2 linked regions of the Canis lupus familiaris genome follow. The protein of the gene in region 2 binds, or shares a complex with, the protein of the main gene of each other region. Links are inferred from orthologs where the notes say so. Each region holds a gene or a part of one and is shown on either strand. Other genes may lie near its edges. The genes, in order: GABARAPL2 and IRGQ.

What was found.
Region 1: the proteins of IRGQ (region 2) and GABARAPL2 are in contact, whole or in part, in a crystal structure (PDB 8Q6Q), measured with the Homo sapiens proteins. The link is inferred for Canis lupus familiaris from reciprocal best matches to the Homo sapiens genes IRGQ and GABARAPL2. Residues at the interface, in NP_001007562.1 of Homo sapiens: Asp7, Thr9, Leu11, Pro47, Leu49, Phe57, Pro70, Trp71, Glu74, Pro181, Ala182, Gln183, Asp184, Gly185, Phe186, Glu187, Val188, Leu189; in NP_009216.1 of Homo sapiens: Ser10, Glu12, His13, Cys15, Val16, Glu17, Ala19, Lys20, Ile21, Ala23, Lys24, Tyr25, Arg28, Pro30, Lys46, Lys48, Tyr49, Leu50, Val51, Pro52, Phe60, Ile63, Arg67, Phe104.

The regions. Positions count from the first base shown.
Region 1 is NC_049226.1:75,810,627-75,822,006, forward strand, and holds the start of GABARAPL2 (gamma-aminobutyric acid receptor-associated protein-like 2), read right to left. Parts: upstream 7,245-11,380; 5' UTR 6,630-7,244; coding exon 6,596-6,629; intron 6,272-6,595; coding exon 6,216-6,271; intron 5,083-6,215; coding exon 4,910-5,082; intron 1,751-4,909; exon of another isoform or gene 496-1,750; coding exon of another isoform or gene 414-495; intron 23-413; coding exon of another isoform or gene 1-22. Other genes in the region: ADAT1 (tRNA-specific adenosine deaminase 1), read left to right, coding at 1-22, 414-460. UniProt on the Homo sapiens protein: Ubiquitin-like modifier involved in intra-Golgi traffic. Modulates intra-Golgi transport through coupling between NSF activity and SNAREs activation. It first stimulates the ATPase activity of NSF which in turn stimulates the association with GOSR1.
Region 2 is NC_049222.1:112,243,793-112,255,172, reverse strand, and holds the start of IRGQ (immunity-related GTPase family Q protein), read right to left. Parts: upstream 6,163-11,380; 5' UTR 5,576-6,162; intron 5,566-5,575; exon of another isoform or gene 5,426-5,565; intron 5,109-5,425; 5' UTR 5,107-5,108; coding exon 4,577-5,106; intron 3,168-4,576; coding exon 1,799-3,167; 3' UTR 1-1,798. Other genes in the region: ZNF576 (zinc finger protein 576), read left to right, coding at 6,737-6,821, 8,275-8,376, 8,475-8,902. UniProt on the Homo sapiens protein: Autophagy receptor that specifically promotes clearance of misfolded MHC class I molecules by targeting them to the lysosome for degradation.

The sequences.
Region 1 (11,380 bases), on a different chromosome or scaffold from region 2:
AGGATCACAATCCAGTTTATAGGTAATAAAAGTAAGGCAATAATAAAGTGAGACATATCACAAAGCTAAGACACATCCTTAGCACTAAGCTGTGCTCCCTCCAAGTGAATACACAGATCTGTTCTACTGCCCTAATGTCAGCATCTTGTGCCTTCTGCACACATCTCCCAAGACTAGTGCTTGTCACACATACACATGTGTGTCCGAAATCACACACATGCCTAGTTTGAGTCTCTCTGGATTCAGTAGGTCAGAGTGGGGCCTGAGATTCTACATTTGTAACAGGTGCCTAAGTAAGGCCACCACTGCCAGCCTCTGTGTCAGAGCTCTCTCTTCAGATCCTGTAATGTAACAACTGGATGGTTGTGCCTGTGACTCTAAGAATCCTCTTGCTGTTCTTTTCTGTCACACAGCCTCGTGTGGAAACTTTACTCAGTTGGGAGCCACACTGGGTCCTTAAACTCAGGACACCCCTTGGGCGAACTTGGAAACTGATGATATTCAACACTGGGAGCAGAACACTCCATTCAGCAGCCTGTGACCGAATGCCCAATTCTGATGTGACACTGAGTGCCATGAAACAAGACTGAAACATCTGTACAGTATGATTTCAAAATAGGACTTACAGGATCAGGCCACACACATACAAAGCCAGAATGATTTGGTCTGGAGCCAAAAAGAGCTGGGCCCCAATTGCAGCTTAAATTTATTAACTCCCATTAAAAAAAAGAAATGAGTTAAAAGGCGACCCTAGTCAGTGGGCAGTCTCCAGGAAGAGGCTGGCGTGTCAGTTTAGGACATGTTCCAAGCCTCTGAGAAGATAAGTTTCGCTCTCAAGAGGTCACCTGAGCCACACAGCGCTGGGCAGGCCACAGCCAAAATGCCCAAGGATCCTCACACAGGTGGCTTGGAGGTGCCTGTCAGGCTGAGCTGCACAGGCTCGCTGGATGGCCTGACAACCGGCGAGCAGCGCTGTAACTCTAAGCCTTCCTGCTGCAGGTACTGCTAAGGAAGACAGAGGCGACCTCGGGCCCCTAGAACTAAGACACAGGGCTGTGGCATCAACTATTACATGCGCTCACCCCAGAAGGGTGCTGCTAAGCACCAGGAGCCCTGCCACCTTCCAAATGCTTGAGCCTGACAAGGAAAGAAATGGGAAAAGCCAAGGGCAGGCAGATTCAAGCCACAGAGCCCATCTAAGGCGTTGGTGGGACCCCGATGTACTGACTCTCATGAACCTAAAGTGGCCCCTAAAACTCTGTTACTCACCCCGCCCCTAAAACTCTGTTACTCACCCCTACATTCAGGGTCACACAGATCCAGACAAACTAGCCAATAATAACAGCACCTTTCAAAAGGGCCCAAATTTGGGAACAGCAGTGCTGCCAAGGGTGACATGAGCTTGAAGCTCCTTGAGAGCACATGCTGGGGGAGGCCGGCCTAGAACTGAGCACTGAGCAGGCACCTAATCCCCGCAGAACCTTCCCATGGCCCTCGACCAAGGTCAGGTCCTGAAGGCTGTGGGCTCCAGCCTGACTCACGAATTGGCTGGACCGACAGGCACACCTGGTCACCCATCTGCTTCAGAGCCCACATGCTTCCCCTGGACCTGGATTTCTCTCTTGCCCAGCAGGGCTGTGGGCGGGGGCCACTGCGTGGACCCTGGAAAGGCAACCACCTCAGAGTGAAAGTCAACTTAACCATGAAGGCTCTCGATGTTCTAAAAAATAAAAATTAACTACTGGCTATCCCTTTTGTCGGACTTTTTTCTCTGATATAAATAAAACCCTATTGCATTACTGCTGGAATAAACCCTTGGAGAGGTATTTACCTAGAAATGATCAAAAGTGTTTAAGCACAATTCTAAATAAAGGATAAAGGGACTATAAGATCTCACAACTTCCTTTTACTTAGTTTCTCTTCAAGATCAAAGGAGCAACTAAGCACCACAATCTTAAAAAACGTTTCCAAGTGTAACATTCCCAAATTATCACACGTTAGAGATACTTTAAAAATATATTACTGCTTCTATTTTAAGCAGGGATTAACAAGATTCTTCTGTGTTCTAAACAAAGATCAAAAGGTAGGTACCACGGCCAGGTCTGGGTTCCCTGCTACTGCCATGACTGGAAGTCTGTACACTGGTATTTTTTTCTTGAGTTCTGTCTGCACCAAGGGACAATTCTTTTGTTTTTGGCCTGATTCTGGATGCAGGATCCTAGGCTGAGAATTCAACTTTCCAATGCTAAATGGGAAAGGGGAGTTGAGATCCTACCCCCTCTGCCCTGCTTTAAAAACAAAAACAGAACTCAGAATTTAGGAAGTAAAACTCCGGGACTTGCCTTGGTCTCTATTTCTAGAATCAGTATTTAATACTCACTAGTCTAAACAATAACCACATTTTACATGATCGCTTGTGTTCCAGAATACTCCGAAAGTCCCACTGCAAGGCAAGAATAACTGAAGTTACTTCAGCTCCACCTCCCACCTCTCAAGTGATCCTCACGCAAATCTGTCATAGGATGGGAGAAGCCTCCTTAGGCCTGGACTCATCCGTTCCAACTCTGATTTCCCCAGCCACTTTCTGAAGGCTGCAAGCACTGGTGGAAGGTTGAGGCCCCGCACTTCCTAAGGAGGCTGGAAGGAGCTGAGGAAGAGGCTGCTGTTAACGTGCCTTGGGGAGGAGATGGCAGGACTGAGTCACACATTAGCTTTAGCAGGAGACCCTGTGGCAGTTCCGTGTGTGCTGCTGTCAAGTGATCAGTATTTGCATAAGGCCCAGTGATGTCATATACCACTTTTGTTTAGAAACAAATTTTCTTAAAAAAACCAAATCGCTGTATTAAGTGTGGGGACAGAAAGTCATTAACTGGGGCCAAAGGCCCGGGCAGAGGAAGCCTGGTTAGCGATTCTCTAAAATCCTGACAGGGGTCACTGGTGTCATCTGCTTTAGGGCAGATTCTTACCAGGCTGGAAAGGCAAATGGGACTGGGAGAGAAAAGGAAGCAGCCTCTGCTGCCCTGAGAATTACTTTTGATTTCCAATTCTATTTATATCTCAGGGATAATGGAGGGAGGGGGCAGTTGCTAATCTGCAGCCATTTTAATTGCTAGATTAACATGAGGCCATCAGAGTAACAGTGTCTCCAGAAGCCTGCACATCTCCTTTAAGAAACATCAAAAGTGGGATGCCTAGGTGGCTCAGTGGTTGAGCGTCTGCCTTCGGCTGAGGCCATGATCCCAGAGTTCCGGGATGGAGTCCCACATCGGGCTCCCTGCGAGGAGCCTGCTCCTCCCTCTGCCTATGTCTCCGCCTTCTCTGTGTCTCTCATAAATAAATCAATAAAATCTTAAAAAAAAAAAAAAAAAAGGAAAAGGAAAAGAAAAATCAGAAGAATTGATCAAATAAATTCAAAGCCACAGGTCTTAGACACCTGCTTCCTTCCCTAAGAAGCCACTGCCAGGAAGGAGGAAACACAGAGTTACCCAGACTCTGCAGAAGCTGCAGGAGATGGAGTTAGCAGGAGACCCTGTGGCAGTTCTGTGTGTGCTGCTGTCAAGTGATCAGCAGTGTGATGACTGAAGATTCACCTCTCCACCACCTTAAGAGAAGCTGAGTTACGACTACAGATGCCCAGGGCTTCCTAACCTGATGAACCCAGCACCATGCTGCCTGGAGGTCGGGGAAGGAAGGCTGGAAGAGCCCCACCAGGTGTCAAGACCGCCTCTGCCAACACCACAGCTTCCTGAACAACAGCTATAGGAGACCAACAGCACCTAGCAGGCAGGCCAGGCGGATCTCCTCAGGCTGGACACTGACCTTACTGAAGAACCTTTCATTTTTCCCCAACCTCTCTGCCAAACACAGGAAATGGAGGTGGTGGAGATTAGGAAAGTAAATCAGATAAAAAAATAGCCAGAGCTATCTGTCATAGGAAAGGGACTAGATTTTGGCTTAGGTCTTTTCTGGAGCTTTCAAGGATTTTCAAAGGGAACATATTTTGGCCAAACTGGGATAGTTCCAGGGATTCTGAAAGCCTAAGCTTGCAGAAGTACTACCTTTAGGGGAGTAACCAATGAGACTTACTTGGAGTCTCCAAGATGAGATGTAGCCAGGAACTCACACTCGGGGGAGAGGGACTAGCATCTGGCTCAAGGGCTAATACTCAACCAGTAATGGCAAAGGACTGACCAGGAATTTTGAAGGAGCCAGTCCATTTTCTTTTTTCCACCAGGGACTAAAGCTGGGCTGTCAACTACACAGAAGAAGAGAATTATAATGCCCCAGAAGACTCGGGCCCCAAGTTATGCCAAAGAATGCTTCTAGGCAGCACAACAGCTAGAGCAAGGGGGGCGGTTACTCTGACAGTCGGAGCAGGTGCTACGAGGGGGGGTGTAAGTCTGTAAAGAGACCTCAGAGCCTTTTGCTGGACAGCAGCCATTCCAGCATACCTGAGGATCAGACAGCTACACACTCGCAGTGGCACAGAACTAAGTTTGGAGAGCAAGCAGGAGGATGATTAACTGAAGCTGAGCCTCAGCAGGGCCCACAAGCCCCTAGTGGAGAACGACAGGACTTATTTCATGGGTCATTTAAAGAAAACCTAATTTTAGGCTCATTTAGGTTCTAGTGATGGCTTAAGCCTAAGTAAATCCTGAACTGTTTTAAAGTATTCATCAGGGTCTGAGGCTAGATTTTTTTTTTTTTTTAAGTCCAACCTTGTTCTATTTTCTTAACCCAAAGTATATTCCCAGATACTGTAGCCCTTTCTTATTTTCCTTGAGCTCCTCATGTCAGGGAGCACAACATCCAGATTTCCAGTCAGGACCTCTAAGAGTTTTCTCACCTCCAAAGTTTAGAGTTCTGTAAGCAGCCAAGCAGGTGGCCAATGCTAGTAAACACTTCTCACCTGGACTGTGGGACTGTCTTATCCACAAACAGGAAGATTGCCTTTTCAGAAGGAAGCTGGATCCTTTTCCTGATGATCCACATGAACTGAGCCACAGTGATGTCAGATGGAACCAAATACTTCCGTTTGTCAATGTCGACAATCTGAGAGCCTGAGACTTTTTCCACAATCACCTGGGAAAGCAAAGAGAGATCAGGACTGGGTTTCTAAAGTGAGGCTCTGGCCTTGCATTGCCAGGGAGCTGATGAATACTATGTGGGCAAGGAGGTGGGTGGGAAACTGCACAACACTGGAAAATATGCCCCTGATTTAATAAACCACAAACTCTTAACTCTGGAGGTTAAGAACTGACATAAATGTATGATATGGAAACAGAAAGTGCTTTTCTGTGGTCAATTATGTTTATCATCCTGCATCTCAGCGAGCATAAGAGAAACACACGCCCTTACTACAAAGCTCTTCGACATTTTGTCTGGGCAGACCTGAGATACCTGGTTTCATCTACAGCCAGTTACTCCAAGACTCCAGAATGAATCTGCCTTCACACTACAGAGGAAGTAAGATCCCAAGGAACAAAGGGGAGAGGAATGGATGGACTAATGGGAATGAGTAAACCAAGCTCCTCATTTGGCCTGTTGCTTCTCCCTGAACTAGGTTTCAAATGTGTCCCTCCTAACCCCTCCTCAGAGTTTTGCTTGTTCAAACAAAGAGCTACAATAACAGACACGGATGTCCTCTAAAAATCAGTAAGAATTATAGAAACTTTACCCCTACCACGGAAGAAACAGGATCTTTATTACTGATTAAGGAGGAACCACGAAAGAAGGGAGTTCTCAGAGGCTTCTCAGATTTTTTTTGGTCAGCAAAGGATGACAGGGTCAGAGTGAGGAAAGGGAGCTAGAAATCAAGTAAAGACAGAGGCTCAAAGTTAAAGATGAGTGTCCTGAGACTAAAGTACCACTTCTAAGACCAAAGTGACAGTCTCCCTCCACCAGTGTTCCCAAAAGTGGCAGTGACCTGTTGCCCTGTCCTAGAACATCGTTCCTTACATAATTGGCGAGGGAGCCCAGAGGCTGCAGACAGCTCGCTGGCCTAGATCGGGAGATTCAGCACTGAGGCACCCTGAACAGCACCTGCTCAAGCCCCTCACGCCACGGCCCCCAAGGCCCCGAGCCCCGTCTGGCTTGTCTGCTCCTATAACTGGGACTGGAACCTCAACTTATCAACTGCTGAGTGGCCCGGGGCCCTATCGCGAGTCCTAGACGACGGGGTGACGACGAGGTGAGGGGGCGGGGAGTGCACTCACCGGAACGCGGTCGGGGTATTTCGCTCGGATCTTCGCGGATTCCACGCATCTGTGTTCTGTGGGAAACAGACGGGGCTGCCGGTCGCGCCTGCTCGTCCGCCGCTTCCCGCGCCCCCGACCCACCTCCCCCAGCGACCTGCGCACGCCCGGGTCCTTGTTACGGCGTCTCGGCGGCCTCGGTCCTCGGCCCCCGCCTCCCGGCAGGAGGGCAGAAGGCGGCACAGCGTCCGTGGGCAGCCGGCGGGGGCGCCGGGGCCTCCGCGACCCGAGGCCACAGCTCGGCATCCGCCCCGCCCGGCCCAGCCCAGGGCGGCCCGAGTGGGGGAGGGGGCCCACCCGCCGCCGCGACCCCCACCACCCGGCCTCTGACGGAGCCTTACCCAGCGAGTGGTCCTCCTTGAACATCCACTTCATGGCGACGGCGGGGAAGGGATGCAGCCGGCTCTCGGAGCCGCGGAGCTCAGCGAACCAACCACAACAACAACGACGGCAGCAGCGGCGGCGGCGACTACACGGCAGGCGGGACTTCCGGCTGCCGGAGCCTAGCAACCGGCCGGGGGCGGGGCTTCCGGCGCAGTTCGCCGGGACGCCGCGCCAGGGGGCGTGGCCACATTCAAAGGGGCGGGGCGAGCGGCGAGGCGGGGCGGGGCGAGGCGAGGCTACGAGGAAGTGGGGCTGATGACGTTGGCCACCCGGCAGTCCTGGAGGGGTTTCGGTGACGGGGAAGGGGATGCTGTCGGGAACTGCTAACAGGAACCGGGTCTCGGCGGACGTTGGTAACGGGAAGAGGAGTTTGGGGGTCTGGCTGATAGGATAGGGCGCTCAGAGGGCTTTTCATGAGGGAAGTCTCGGTGTCGGGAATTTTGGAGCATGAGTGACAGACGAGGGGTCTCTGATGGTCGATAATGGCGGGGTGGGGGAGATCTGTTTAGCGCATTGACAGTTTGGGGAGTATTGTTTGGAGTGGTAACAGGTTGGAGGGTGTGGCTAATTTGAGGGGCCTGTGTGGGGAGAGGTTCTGATGACAAGCCGGGGGTTCAGTATTGGAGACAGCCAAAACAGGTGGCCTTGGACCTAGAAATGGAATTTAAACAAAACCCTATTTCCTTCCTTTTTTCATGAATAAATAAACGTTTGACTAAACATGTAAGCACATGTATCACAAATAGACATTTGAGGAGCATAACATCTCACTGATCACAAAGAGACCCCTTAACCTTAACTACAGAGGACTTAGAGGTGACTGTCTGGCTGAGAGAATTCCCCTGAGAGTCATGAGACAAATTTCTTTGGCAGTCAGCATGGAGTTCAGCAATCACAGTCTAGGCTGTGCGTACGTGTGTCACCTGCCTGAGCATATGCCTTGAGTTCTCCAGTGATGTCACCTCTTTCTTCCTAGCAGAGTCATCAGGACAGTCTGCTCTGGGTCAACATCTGTTTACTAGCTGGTGAATATGTAACAAGAATATTCATTTAATTGGGCACATGATCCTTGTCATGTGCTTATGATTCTGATGCATCTGAAAGGATTGCATGTGTGAATATTGTCGTTCACCATTTCCCATAGTTGTAATTCCTGATGGATGCTGTGGAATCTAGCTTCATTCTAGAAGCATTTTGGTTATTTTAAGATTGTCTGAGCAACCAAAATAGGCTTTTGTTTGCTTGCTTGTTTTTAATGAAGTGAAAAGCCCTTTGAATTTCATACCTAGAAATTATTACTGCTGCATACAGGAGCACTGTTCTAGGTGTTGAGGAAAAGCAGTGAACAGAACATTCAGCTGTCAAGGAGTTTCTAGTGGGATAAGACAACAAATGTCAGGTAATGGTAGGCGCTGTTTAGAAAATAAAGCAGGGTTGGTGACGAGTGACAGTGGGGTAATGCTAATCAGGTAAAGTGGTTGGCATAATCAGGGACAGGAAGGAACCCCTTGTGGCTGGAGCTGAATTAGCAAGGGGGGGTATGTTAGAAGATGAGATCAAAGATATGTGTAACAAAGCTGTTGAGTTTTTTTTTTTTTTAAGATTATTTATTTATTCATGAGAGACAGAGAGAGAGAGAGGCAGAAACACAGGCAGAGGGAGTCGCAGGCTCCACACAGGGAGCCCGACGTGGGACTCGATCCCAGGTCTCCAGGATCAGGCCCTGGGCTGAAGGCAGTATTAAACCGCTGAGCCACCCGGGCTGCCCAGCTGTTGAGTTTTGAATTTCATGTGAAGAACTTTGGATGTTATTTAGAATGAAATGAGAAGTAGAGGATTTTAAGCAGAGGTGTGACATGGTATGGCTTTCCTTTTGAACTGAGCAGGCTAGCTTTTTTGTAGACAGACTCTAAGGGTTTGAGAATGGAAGTCAGGAAAACAATTAGGAAGCTATTGTGATAATCCAAGTGGAAGATGATGTTGGCCTAGACCAAGATAATGTCTGTGGGGATGGTGGGAAGCAATTATATTCTAGATATATTTTGAAGGTAGAGCCAACCAACAAAATTTGATGATAGATTGAATATGAAGTGTGAGGGACAAGTCAAAGTCAGAGTTTTTAGAAGGATGGAATTGCCATTTACTGAAATAGAGTGGAGCCAGTTGGGGAGGTGGGGATCAAGGTTTGGTTTTGGCTCTATTGAGTCTGAGATGCCCAAGGGACACATCCAAATGAAGATATATGGAGTAAGTGAATAGATCTATGAGTCTCAAATTCAAGAGAGAAGTATTTAAAGCTATTGAACTGATGAGATCAGCTAGAGAGTGAATGAAAAAACTGAAAATACCTATTTTGCAAATAGAATTAAACACTGAGGAATCAAAGTGGAAAGATCCCATAAGTCACCCCTTACAGGAGTGTAACCTGATGGTCTTCGTAAGGTGCAGTGTTTTTCTGTCTTCTATCTTTACTTACTTCTTTGATGTCTTTTTCCAGTTCACCATTCTAATTGGATTCTCTGATCTGCCCTGATGATATGCATCACCTTCTTTACCTATGGGGTCATTATACTAGCTTATTGAATGTTCTAAAGATACCGAATGCCTTCCTTGAGGGGGTGGCTAGTTGAAAAGATGACTCAGAAGAAAAAATAGGATAATTAAAGTATGCAGTTATATATTAACAGACTTATAAAATATGCAGAATAAATTTCAGATGTTGGAGAGGTCCTGCACTTGAATGCTGAAGGATGGTTAGGGCAATGGGGGCTGACACCAAACCAAGCGAGGCTTATCAAAAAAGACTAAACAGAGAATGTGAATCTTATGTGTCAGAGAGAAGTGTACATTTTTCAAAGGACAAACTTCGCTTAATAGACACAAAGACTGGGGTTAGAAGAGGGAACTGGGAAGCAATATAGACAAATGCTGGAAAGCCTTGATGTGAACATTCAGGCGTTCTGAACTGATTCGAGATACCCTGAATGGGAGCTTTTAGAAAGGAGTAGAACGTGATCAAAATGTGTAGTTTTAAGAGAACAACTCTCTTTGTCCTTAAAAGTAAATTCTATGAAGGTGCACCTAAGAGGCTCAGTAGGTATAGTGTCTGACTCTCGGTTCCGGCTCAGGTCATGAGCTCAGCATCCTGGGGTCAGGCTCCGCACTTAGCAGGGGAGTCTGCTTATTTCCCCCTCTCTGCCTCTCCCCGCCACTCACGTGCTCTCCTTCTCTCTAAAATAAATAAATCTTTTTTAAAAAGTAAATTTTATGAAACATGAAAAAATTATGGAAATGGAAACAGAGAAGTCAGTTCTCAGTTATGAATATATGACAATGACACAATATACACAGACCTTTAGCATTTTTAAAAACTAAAATTCCAAAAAAAAATAAAAAATAAAAATAAAAATAAAATTCCCTCTTAAAGAATCAAAATAAGACCACAAAGATTAGCTTCTTCAAATAATGGAAGCAAAGAGTAAGTATTAGTATCCATTATTATTAAATACTTTTGCAAAGCTCATGGCATCTCAGGGGAGGCACTTCACACACCTAAATTCTTAGGAATCACCACCTTGTTCTCAGCAGTGACTAAGCTGACACTAGCCACAGTATGTGTTTCCTTCTACTGAAAGAAGGAACTTTGAAGGCAAATGCCTCTTTCCTTGGTGTAGAGCTGCACTCAGGAGGTAACACTAGAACCATCGATTCCAGAATCTTATTTTAATGGTTATTCTTAAATTTTTAGTTCAGTGTAGTTAACATACAGTGGTGTATTAGTTTCAGGCATACAACATAGTGATCCAACAATTCCATATATTACTCAGGGCTCATCAAGATAAGCGCTCTCTTATATAAGTGTTTGGTGTCAGCCCCCCATTGCCCTTCACCTATTTCACCGATCCTCCCATCTACCTGCCTTCTGGTAACCATCGGTTTGTTCTATATAATAATATAGTCTGTTTTCTGGTTTGTCTCTTTTTTTCCCTTTGTTCATTTGTTTTCTGAAGTCCCACATATGAATTAAATTATATGGTTTTGTTACTTGAATAAATGAAAGTCATTCACTTAAATCATTGATACAGTATAACGTCAGAATCATAATATAGATTTAAGCCTAACAATTGCTATATTTAAGAGCTGTGTTGCCACCCTAGGGAAGCTTTAAAGCAAAGATGAGTAGTACTGAACCAGATCTGTCAAAATCTTATGGCTGGGGCAGCCCTGGTGGCCCAGTGGTTTAGCGCTGCCTTCAGCCCTGGGCATGATCCTGGAGACCCGGGATCGAGTCCCACGTCGGCCTTCCGGCATGGAGCCTGCTTCTCCCTCTGCCTGTGTCTCTGCCTCTGTTTCTCAAATAAATAAATAAAATCTTTAATTAAAAAAAAATCTTATGGCTCATATTGTCGATTGAACCGCGGTGAGGACCCTGGATAGTTTTTCCGAAGGATCAGCTCTTGGCCCCCTCAAGCATCTATGTAGTTAGGATCTCAGCTGCATTATCTAAAAGCTATTTCTAGGTTGCCTTCAAAATAGAGGCATGGCCTGCTGGATTCCGCTCTGACCACAAACCTCACACTACCTTTTGGCGCTGCATTGTGATCCTTTTAGGGCCTCCTGAAGAACTTGGCTGTTGACCAGGGTACAAAAAAAAAAAAAAAAAAAATTCCTTCTGCCATGTTCAAAATACTGGTTAGAGGTGAAAGCATTCAATTAAGTGATAAGCCACTATCATCTTTGGG
Region 2 (11,380 bases):
TCCTGCTGTCAAAGAAAATAGGATCTTGCAAGTATATACGGTTCTCGTCCGGCCCTTTCATTTCTCAGATGGAACATAAGGCACTGGTCCAAGTCACCCAGAGTGACAGTGGCAAAGCCGTGCTTGCTTCCCAGATCCCGTGACCTCAGACAGGAGCTTTCTCTCCCATCAGATGCTTGTTTCTCCCCACCTTGCTCATTTTCCCTGTCTTGTGGCAAGAGGCCGACAATCTAAATTCCAGTCTGCCACTGACTAATGAATGAAAAGAAATAATTACTAAGCACCTACTGTGGGTCAAGCACTCTTCTAGGTGTTAGGGGTAGAGCAGAGAACAAAACAGGTAAAAGGACAATAGCTATTAAATAGGTAAATAAATAAATAAGGTAATTGCCTACAGTAAAAATTGCTGCAAGGGAAATAACTGGCTGAGAAGAGTAATGGGGGCGTGTGAGCTGATTCAGTTACACTGGACAGGGATGGCTTCTCTGAGGGGACGTTTGAGTGGAGATCTGCTTGATAAGAAGGAACCAGTTATGGGAAGATCCGGGGGTAGAGCATTCTAGGCAGAAAGAACAACAAATGCAAAGATCCTGGGGTAGGATCCAAGGTGGCCCACCCAGGCATCGGAAGATCAGGCTGGTTAGGGGATGAGGTTGGGGCCAGACCACATAGGACCCTGCTGTGTGTTGTTGGGCCTAGAGCCTGCCCTCCCTGGGCTTTGCCCTCCCCATCTCTCATAAAAGAGATGCTACTTAATGGCCTTTTGGGTCCCCCTTTCCTGCTTTTTGATACAAGAACTCTGTAACCTGTGGCATCTTTTCTACCTATAGTTGGCAGCCTAGAACATTCCAGGCACTGTGGTTTCTGCCTTTGCTTCACTTACGGCACACTCCCACCGTCTGGAACACTACCTCGCTGTTCTGTGGGTCTCTTGCTCTCCGCAGCCCTGTGTGTACACCAGAGGGCAGAGCCTCTTGGGGACACCTGAGGTAGCCAACACAGAAATATCTGTCAGTGCAGCATTATAGCTGCTTTTCCAAAAAAGGCAGGAGTATAAAATATCAAGGCCAGAAAGGGTTCGGCTTAATGATAGAAGAAATCAAGACCAAAAAGAGATAGAAACCACTAAGGGAAAGAGGGACAAAGGAACAGACACACCAAAGATCCCTTGAATCACTCAGCACTTATAAAAGGGGGGCGGGTAGTCATGTCCCTTTCCAAACTCGCACTGAGAGAGGTGATTGCCAGGGTCCAAATCCATAAGGAATTTGTGGGAGATACCTCTGAGGTATGGGTTCCTGTCCTTCACACCAGAAGGCCTCATTCCTGGTCTCTGGCTACCCCCAGGGCCCACCATGCCCAGACCTCTTGCCTACTTCCCTCGTTTTTCTGGGACCATCCTCCCCACAACAGCTGGGAAAAGAATCTGGCTCACCAGGCCCTCCCCCCCCCACCCCCCAGCAGCAAATAACAGACATCTCTCTATTCCTGATCAAAGGTTCTGCAGCTCTTTTGCACAGTCCCCTGTTCCCTCCTGTAGATGGAGACTTCCCACCACCCAGCAACTGGAATCTTAAAGTCCACCCCAATGAATTCAAAGCCCTCATTCCCTTCAAGCACCCAGCATTCTGAGTGGTGGCCCCCAGCTCCGCTACCTCAGAGGCCCAGACATCCCATGCATCTGGACCCCCCCAATCCCTATCCCTCTAACCAGGACGTGGAGTCCTCAGCCCCTGGGGGAGCCAAGCAGGAGGGACACTGGGCACCCCGGCAGCCCCCCAGACCCGCGTCCCACCCCTCACTGCGCGGGCACATGGGGTGCCAGCACCGCCTCGGCATCGGCCTGCATCTCGCTGAGGGCCTGCAGCAGGACGCCGTGCGCCGCGCGGTAACCCAGGCCGCCGGTGGCCGCCGCGCCGCCCGCGGGCCAGAGGAAGGAAAGGGCCCCCAGCGCCGCGCCCCCCGCAGTGCCCTCGCCCGCCCACGCGCCCAGCCTGGCCTCCACCTCGGCGCGCGTCACCGGGCCCGGGAAGTGCGTCCGCTCCGCCAGCTCCCCCGGGGTCAGGCCGAGCGCGCGCTCGCGTCGAGCCAGCGCGGCGGGTTCGAGCCCCAGCGCCCGCCGCCACTCGGCCAGCTGACCCCGCAGAAGCGCCACGTCGCACGCCCAGCCTAGGCCGGGTACGGGCGCCGCCGCCGCCGCCAGGCTGGCCAGCAGAGCCGGCCGCCACGCCCCGGCCCGCAGCGCCGCCGCCTTCATGCGCGCCCCGTGGGGAGACGCGGGGGGCAGCGCCAGCAGCAGCGCCCCCGCCTGGGCCGGGGGCAGCGCGCGCCGCAGCCACTCGCAGAGCCCCGGGAGGCCGCCAGGCCGCAGCGGGAACACGGGTGGCGGCGCCTCCTCCAGCACCTCCCACGTCTCATCCTCGGGGCTCAGCGCGGCCGCACGCTCCGCGTCCCCACTGCCTGATTTCTTCCCGCCACCGCCAACAGGCGGCACACTCTCGCTGCCCGCTTTCTCCGAGCCTTCCCCGCTGCCTGCTTTCTCGGAATCTTCCTCGCTACCTTTCTGCAATCCCGGGCCACGTTTCTCCCTTCCCTCACTGCGTGCATTCTTCACCCCCTCTCCGCCTGTGTTCTCTAAGCTCTCGCAGCTGGGCTTCTCTTTCTCCGCCTCGTCCTCTTCCTCCAGGTACTCTGGATCTTCGCCCTCACCGTCTGTTCGCACGCCGACCAGCGGCGCATCTGGCAGCACGAAGGGCCGAACCTGAGCCCAGTCCTTCTCAGTGGGGGCCCCCGGGGTGACTAGGATGAGGGCGTCGTAGTGGGTCGGATGGGGGGTGGCGGCAGCAGTGCCCGCGGAGCCCAGAGGTACGTGCCAGAGCACCACATTGGGACGCTCTGGGGCCGGGTGGGGCGTGGGCCCCGCGGGCATGAAAACAGGCTCGGCATCAGGGTCACCGGGATCCAGCCCAAGCAGCACGTTCAGCACAAGGCTCACATCGGCGTTGCCGGCCACGGCCAGGTCCAGCCGCGCGCTGCCCAGTCGCTCCAGGCCAGCGCGAACCCACGACAGCGCCGCCTCCAGGCCACCGGTCTCAAAAGCCTCCCGCACGGCCTCCAGCTCTGCCGCACCCAGTACCTCGAAGCCATCCTGTGCCGGGGGCAGGAGCCTAAGGGGACAGGGAAAGGGAGGGTCAAGAGCAGAAGAGGGTTTAAACGCGGGAGAGCTGCATTATGGGGATGGGACCAGACTAGGATGATATGGGTGGAGTTTTTGAATAACCTCTGAAAGAAGACAGAGGAGCCAGACTCATCATAAAATATATAGGAATTAGGGCTTAAAGCAGGGGGAAGGGGACGCCTGGGTGGCTCAGTGGTTGAGCGTCTGCCTTCAGCTCAGGGCGTGATCCCAGGATGGAGTCCAACATCAGGGCTCCCTGCATGGAGCCTGCTTCTCCCTCGGCTTGTGTCTCTGCCTCTCTGTGTATCTCTCATGAATAAATAAATAAAATCTTTTTAAAAAACAAAAAAATAAAATGGGGGCAGGGGGGCAGGTTGGTTGAGGTCAGGTTTCTGACAAAACCTAAAAAGGGAAACCTGCTAAATCTTCTCTGAGATTCAGTCTTTGGGGGAGGGGGCACTTTCCCAAGGGCCTTGCAGGGTTAAGAAAGGCCAAGCAAAACTCCTGGAAGATGGGGCTCCCGCAAAGACTGACTTGCAACTGTATTGTGGGCTAAAGGAAAGGCAAGCACCTTTGGACCGGAGCAAGGTCACCCAGGGCGCTCTTTGCAGAGACTAGGTTTACTGAGGCGAAGAAGGGCCAGTGAGGGGAAAAGCCTCGCTTATTAGTGCTTACCAAGGAGTGGCTAAGGAAAAAAGATGTGCACTGACCCAGTGGGCCTCATTTGGACTTCTATAAAACAGGTGGCCAGGGATGGGGGGGGGGAGGATTTAGGAGGTAGCCAGCGAGTGGGCATAGAAATGAGATGGGATTGGGATTAAAGAAAGGCAGAGGGGGAGGAAATCCAGAAAGGGCAAGGCTCACTGAGGGTGTGGCTTTACAAGGACTAGTGTAGCTTGAGAACAAAGCTGAAGGTGGAGCAAAGCTGAAGGTGGAGAGGACGAGGAGGGCTCGAAAGTGTGAATCCCTGGGTAACATCTTGGCGGGGATCGCAGGCTTGTGTGCTGAGTAAGCCTTCCTCCAAACTTTTGCCATGGGGGAAGTATTTGGGCATTAGGTCCTCGCCTCTCCTAAAATGCTCAGTGAAGCAGGGCTTGGGACCTGAGAATGCTTGCGGGGGGCAGAACCTGGGAGGACGGGTCAGAACCTCGAGCTGACCTTTTGGTGGGGCGGAGCCTAGAAGACAAGAAAGGCTCCAGCATTGAGTGCTGGCTTGGAGTGGAGCCTCGCTGACCTCAAAACCTGCGCTGAGGGGCAGGACCAGGGCCAGAGAGCAGGGCCCCCAGCAGCTATCCTGTTAAGGCCTGCCCCAAACTCACTGGGGGTGGGGTCTCGCGATCTCAAAGAACATTTTCTGGATGTGAAATGTAAAGCACTAGGCCTCAAGTCCTCGCTCACCTCTGCAGCACCTCCGCCTGGCTCCGCAGCGCCACCCGCAGGCGCTCCAATTCCTTGCAGCCGTCTCGGCGGCCGCAGTCCGCGGGCAGCACGAAGAGAGCAGCGGCCCCCAACCCCGCGCCGTTCAGCAGGGCCGCGGTCTGATCCCGGGCCTGGGCTTCATCTTGTGACTCCCCAGGGCGGAGATTCCGCACAGCCAGCAGCGGGGTCCCTCGGGCCAGGGCGGCCCGCGCTGCCTCTCCCAGCGCTGGGGCCAGGGGCTCCCCGTTCCCCTCGGGGCCGGGCAGCACCAATACCAGCACGTTGGCCTCCGCCGCCCAGGGCCCTGGCGCTGCGGGCGGACAGCTCAGCTCGCCCAGGAAGAGGCCAGGGCCCAATGCTCGCAGGCTGGGGATCCCGGAGTCCGGTCGGCCCTCGGGAATCTCTATGGTCTCCACATTCCCGTCGCACAGCGCTGCGATCAGCGCGGACTTGCCACAGCCCGGAGGCCCCAGGAACAAGGCGGTCACGTCACCCCGTGGCGGTGGCATACCTGGAAGGCAAGGGGGTGGTGCAGACCCGGGTCAGGGAGCACTCGACCTTTTTCTTTCCTGGTCTGCTCACTCTGTCCCCCCTCCATTCTTGCGTGTCACTCCCAGGGAAACATCCGGCACCCACGCCCTGTCTATTCCCCAAGGACCCGGGTGGCTTGTCCGCCCTCTTTCTGGATACATTTAAAAATATATATTTTATTGATTTTAGAGAGAGAGAGAGAGCACAGCCGGGGGGGAGGGGCGGAGGGAGAAGCCCACTCCTCGCTGAGCGGGAGCCTGATGCGGGGCTCCACCCCAGGACCCCGGGGATCATCACCTGAGAGAAGACAGACGCTCAACCGGCTGAGCCGCCCAGGCGCCCCACTCTCTCGGTTTCAAAATCTTAGACATCCGGACCTCCAGGCCCCTCCTCCCTCAGGGACATGGATGTTTTTATTCCCGCACTCCTCCCTTCCAAACCACTAACCGAGCAAAGCGCTGGCAGTCACCGGAGAGCGCGATCCGCGGCGGCGGGTCAGCCGCTGAGAAGCCCCGCCCTTGGGGTCGGGCGGACGGAGGCCGAAGAGGTTAGGGCGCCCCGATTTGGGGCGGAGGGGCGGAGGGGGGGCCGTCCAGACCCGTTCCGAGGGCTCTAACCTGACGTCACTCTTTTAAGGAGGGGGTGTGTCTTGGAAGCGTGACCTCGGGGCTACAGCCCTTGGCGGCGGCTGCGCAGAGCAATCGAAGCGCGCCGGCTCCCCCCTGCTGCTGCCGCGGGGCCCCGAACAATGAGGGAGTCAGAGCGCCTGCGCGCCAGCAGCGCCCGGCCACATTTGCGCAAGAAGCGGAGGTCGGTCCGGCACGGGCGGCCGCGACGTCATCATAACGCATCCCGCTGCGGGGAAGGACCCCTCCCGTTTCTCTGAGGACCCGGCTGGCGCGACTGCATCACTGCCGGATAGTAGCCGGGCTTTCGGCGTCGAGAGGCTCCTCCGGCGAAAGGGCGTGGGAGCCCCTGGGACCTTGAGCCTCGGGGGCCCTACCCCGCTTCCCTCCGGGTGGCGGCGCTGTGACGAGGCGGCCGACTGGCGCCACGAGAGCTGCCCGCTGCTGTCCGGAGAAAAGCCGAGGCCTGGGGCTACCCGGCCTCGGGAGGAGGGAACCGAGGCTGAAGGCGCGCGTGGGAGGCGGGGGCCCGGGGTGGAACGAGGGTCACAGGATGTCAGAGAAAGATGCCTCCCGGGAGGAGGCGGGTTAGACCCGGGGCGCCACTACCTGCCTCAAGACACGTGGGAGAGCTGGTGTCAAGAGATCAAGGGTTCCATGCCCGCACTTCAGGGAGTTAGATGTGGGAGGCCAGAGGTCTCACGCAGGTCAGACGGCTCCACGGGGTATCACAGGCCTGGGGAGTCGGATCTTTTGAGAGGGTCGAAGCTTCCCTGAGGAGAGCTCCACCAGGTTAGAGTTCAAGAGGATGGCCTCTTACGGGGTGGGGTGGGGTGGGGTGGGGGTGGGCGGGAAGCAAGGGGAGCCTGCCGGAGGTCATAGGATTGCGGGCCCCTTCATGCAATGGATACATGAGCGACTTCACTTGATTTACTGTCCTGTCATGCGCGCTGCTCTCTTGACCAGAGGGATCCCAGGCGTTATGGAGGACCCGCATCTCGAAGGGGCCACGGAGCAGCAGGATCCGTCCCAGGAGAGGAGTCCCCGCAGCCCAGGAGGCGACATCTGTGAGTGCTGCTGGCCAGACGGGTGGGGTGCTGGAGCCGATGCTAGCTAGCTAAAAGGATTTCAGTGTCCCAGGCATGTAACAAGCACTCGCCTGCTGCAAAGGGGCTGTAATAAATGGTTTATAAGCTGCCCTACCAGGAACTGCCATTCTCTACCCTTACCTTTATTGTGCTCAGATGTACCCATCCCGCTCTGGCCACGTAAGTTCGAATGTGCTGCAGTTTGGACGGACAGAGTGGCACCCAGAGAGGCTTGGGTGGGAGAAAATGTTGGACACTGAGAGAGGAGACCCGAGGTTCCAGTGCCAACTCTGCCCCAGACTTTGGGTGTGTGACTTGGGCTCGGGTTTCCCTGTCAAAAGAGGTTGCCACTACTCAGGTGACACGGCTGTAAAGGGGATTAGTGGCAGAGATGGGGAAGGTTTGATATCGGGGAGTCTGCTGTTAGCAGAGGTAGCCAGTTTGACATAGGATAGCAACAGCTTCTACTGAATGCTTACTAGGTGTTGGGCGCTTTCTAAGAGTTTAACCTTCATTATCTCAGTCCTCCTGACAGACCCAATGGAATTGGCATTGCTTTCAGATAAGGGAACTGAGGCAAAGAGGTTATCTGGGACAATGAGCTCCAGTGTCAAGGTCCTCCGGCCAAAGACCACCAGGAACACACCTGCATTTGAACAAGTTGGGTTTATCGCTCATTGCACTGAGGAAGCACACACACCCTGAAGCACTGTGGGGCATCTCAGTGTTAGAAAGGACTTATCTTAGGTGATTTGGGAGAAGGTTCAAGGAAGGGTTTTGTTCCAATTAAATGCTGCCAGTAAGTAGGGGCAAAAGATAGGTTGGCTGTGTAAATAAATCTTATCCAGGAGGGGGGGTACAAAGGCTCAAGCTGTGATTGATAAAGCAGCAGCAGCCCCTCCTGTGAGCCAGGATAGGGGGATGTTTGGTCATTTTTGTGGCTTGGACAATGTTCATGTTTTGTCTGTGTTCAGACGTTACTCTGGCATGGTCTTGATGTGATTCATCTCAGTCACAGCATGGCTTTGTCTGACAAGGTTCTGTGAAACTGCTTCTGTTCAACAGGAGAACACCAAGGCCTAGCTGTGAGTGCCAGGCCAGCCCCTGTCAAGCTGCTTTTCTCTTTCTCAATACGAGTAACCACAAACCACTGTGTAGCACTGTTCTAAGCACTTTATATGAAGTAATAACCCATTTACTCCCTCCAACAACCCCATGAGGTAGTTGTAACTGTACTGATCAGTCAACCATACTGATATGGTTATGACCCCATTTTCCAGATGAGGAAACCGTTGTACTTGCCTAGGAAGTGGCAGATCTGGGATTCAGTGCCAAGTAGTCTGGCTCCAGAGGCTGTGCTCTAATCACATGGCTCTGCTGGGAGAGCACACTCCCTGGGTTCCATTCCTGACTCCACCATTTCATTTCCTAGCAAGTTGCCTAACCTTTCAGAGCCTCAGTCTGCTCATCCATAAAACGTCCTGTAATAGTTTGCCTGTGCCACTGTCCAGCCCTGACGTACAGCTGGCATATAGTAAGCACTGAATGTAAATTGTTGGCAAGACCCTGGGGCTTGGGAGAGGTCCTGGTGACTCTTGCTGGCTTCCCCCGACCTCTCCCCACGTCCCTCAGGCCACCTGGGGGCCCCGCAGTGCACCCGCTGCCTCATCACCTTCGCCGATTCCAAGTTCCAGGAGCGTCACATGAAGCGGGAGCACCCAGCTGATTTCGTGGCCCAGAAGCTGCAGGGGGCCCTCTTCATCTGCTTCACCTGCGCCCGCTCCTTCCCCTCCTCCAAGGCCCTGCTCGCCCATCAGCGCAGCCACGGTCCAGCAGCCAGGCCCTCCACGCCAGTTGCACCCACCGCTGCCCACCCTACATTCCCCTGCCCTGACTGTGGCAAGACCTTTGGGCAGGCTGCTTCTCTGAGGCGGCACCGCCAGGCGCATGAGACCCGTGTCCCTCCAGGCCCCTTTGCCTGCACTGAGTGTGGTCAGGACTTTGCCCAGGAAGCTGGGCTGCATCAACACTACATCCGGCATGCCCGGGGGGAACTCTGAGTGAGGGTTACACCCTCCCTAGGGCAATGGGTGTGTGTGTGGGGGGGATGGGTTCTGTGGCTGCTAGAACCCACCTCTGATAAGGGATGGGCGCCTTGGAAGGATGTGCTTCCCTCCCTGGACAGGCAAAGGACTCCTGATAAATAGGACCCAGAAGATGCTCATCTCCAGATTCAGTCTTTGGAGGACACAAAGGCCTTCAGGGATATAGCGAAATTAGTGAAATCTTTTAAGAGAAATGAACAAGCAAAAGGGAAAATTGTTATTTGTATCTCCCTTGTTTCCAATTAAATAGTTTGAAATCACAACTAGCTGCAGATTGTGTAATCACCTTTAATTCTTCCCAGATGGATGCCATGAGCTGTAGGAGCAAATTCCCCCTGGTTTTGTGCCTGAAGGGGGACAGGGAGGGTGAGGTGTGGCGGGGCTGTAATGTCCCTGGAAGGGTCTCAGATGTGGGGAAACTTGGGCCTTTGGGGTGCGGTAGCAAAGTTGGGGGCTGTCTGAGTCATGTGGGGGTTGCAATTCAAGTCCCTGTCTTCTCCCATTCCCTGTCACAGTCTTTCCCACTCACTGAGGGGCCTTGGTATTTGGATTTGGGCTCCTTCCCCAGTAATCTATTGCCCGCTTAATTTCATGTACCATTCTAGTCATGGAATATTTTCTAGATGTTTAGGTGAGATGACATGAATAAAATAGCAAATAGTATCTAAAAACAGAAAAGATCTGTATTAAAATGTCTAAACCAGAAACTCTGGCTTTTGAGCAGGAATTGCCAGAAAATATAAGAAGGGCATAGTGAGGGGGCTCAGTTGGTTAAATGTGGGACTCTTGATTCTGGTTCAGGTCATGACCTCAGGGTCATGAGATCCAGCCTGGTTTCGGGCTCTGCTGAGCAGGGAGCCTGCTTGATTCTCAATACCCACACCCCCGCCCCCTTTCATCCCCCACACGCATGTGCACACGCACGCTTTCGCAAAATAAATAAAAAGAAGGGCACTGGGAGGGGGGAGCTCAGGTCAGAGCTGGCCTGGCCCTGTGGGGAATCTGGTTTGAAATCAAACAGGGATACCTTCTGTTTCCTGTTGTATTTGGCCAACACTGGGAGAGTTCCCATTAAGATCCTATTTTCAGCTCTTGAAACCCCTAACCCTGGGCTGGGTCCCACCAGGCCAGTACTGAGTGTGGTCAGGACTCTGGATTACCTGCCCTGCCCCCCTTAGAGACCCCGGTTGATGCCCTGCATACAATAATTACAGACACTATCTGAACTGAGGGATGTTTTTAAAGCCCATAGCTGAGGTAAATTTGGTAGAGGATAGCTGTTTCCCAATTTTTACCTAGGTACATGGTAGCTACTAGCACTCCATTTCCCAGGGTTCCTTGCAGCTAGGTGTGGCACGGTGACGGAGTTCTGGCTAAATCCTGGGTAGAGTTCTCAAGCTTCAGAAAGGGACACGCCTTTTCCTCCACCTTCCTGCCTGGAGTGTGGACATGGTATCCAGCCATCTTGGACCATGAGAGCAATATATGGGATGCCAGAGCCGCAAGACAGCAGAAGCCTGGGTCCCTTGTTGACTACATGGAGCAGAGTCGTCATACCAGCCCTAGAATATCCACTTCCATACGATCATATAAGAGAGAAATAAACCTCAATCTTGTTTAAATCACCATTATTTTGGGTCTCTGTCACATGCAGCATAATTTACAGCCTGTCGGTAGCACAGAACGGCAGATTTGAGTAGTTAGTTGCAATGGAGACCGTATGGCCCATAAAGCCTAAAATAGTAAAGGGCCATCTGGTCCTCTATAGTAAGTTTGCTGACCTCTTGCCTGATGGACATACAACCTACTCTGAGCCCGGAAGCCGGGATTCCCACCCTGGGAAATACTACCTCTAGTAGGGGGCTGTGTGTGTGTCCTGTAGGATCTGGACAGGGCCAGCCAGCCTGGAGCTCTGCTGGGGTGACTTTTGGGGAAATTGGTGGTTTGGAGTCAGTCGGCCATTACTCTATCCTAAAATACCGACTTCACCAAAGCCAAACATTTCCTCTGCACCTGGTGATAGCTCAGAAGTCTCCAACCCAGATGTTTCACACCACCCCCACAGCGGTTCCCTCAAACCCAAACCTGAGGCACTAATCACACATGCTCCCCTGAGACAGACAGCAGCCTGCCTGTGTTCTTCCTCTTCTCTCCACTCTCCAGATGTCATAGATTCCCAAGACTTTAAATAGCATCCTGGTGACTTCCAAATCTTTATGTTCAGCTCAAACCCCAGACTTCTCCCCAGGAGAAGAAAGTCACTTGGATGATGAATAAAAGTCCCCAAAACATAAAAAGGGTCAGTGTGACTCCTACAGCCCCCACCTACACCACTACCATCAGATCGGTCAACTGTGTACTCAACTTCTAAATTCTGGAGTCTGACAGGCCCTCCCCACAGGGATCTCCTAAGTGTTCCCCCCACCCCCACCC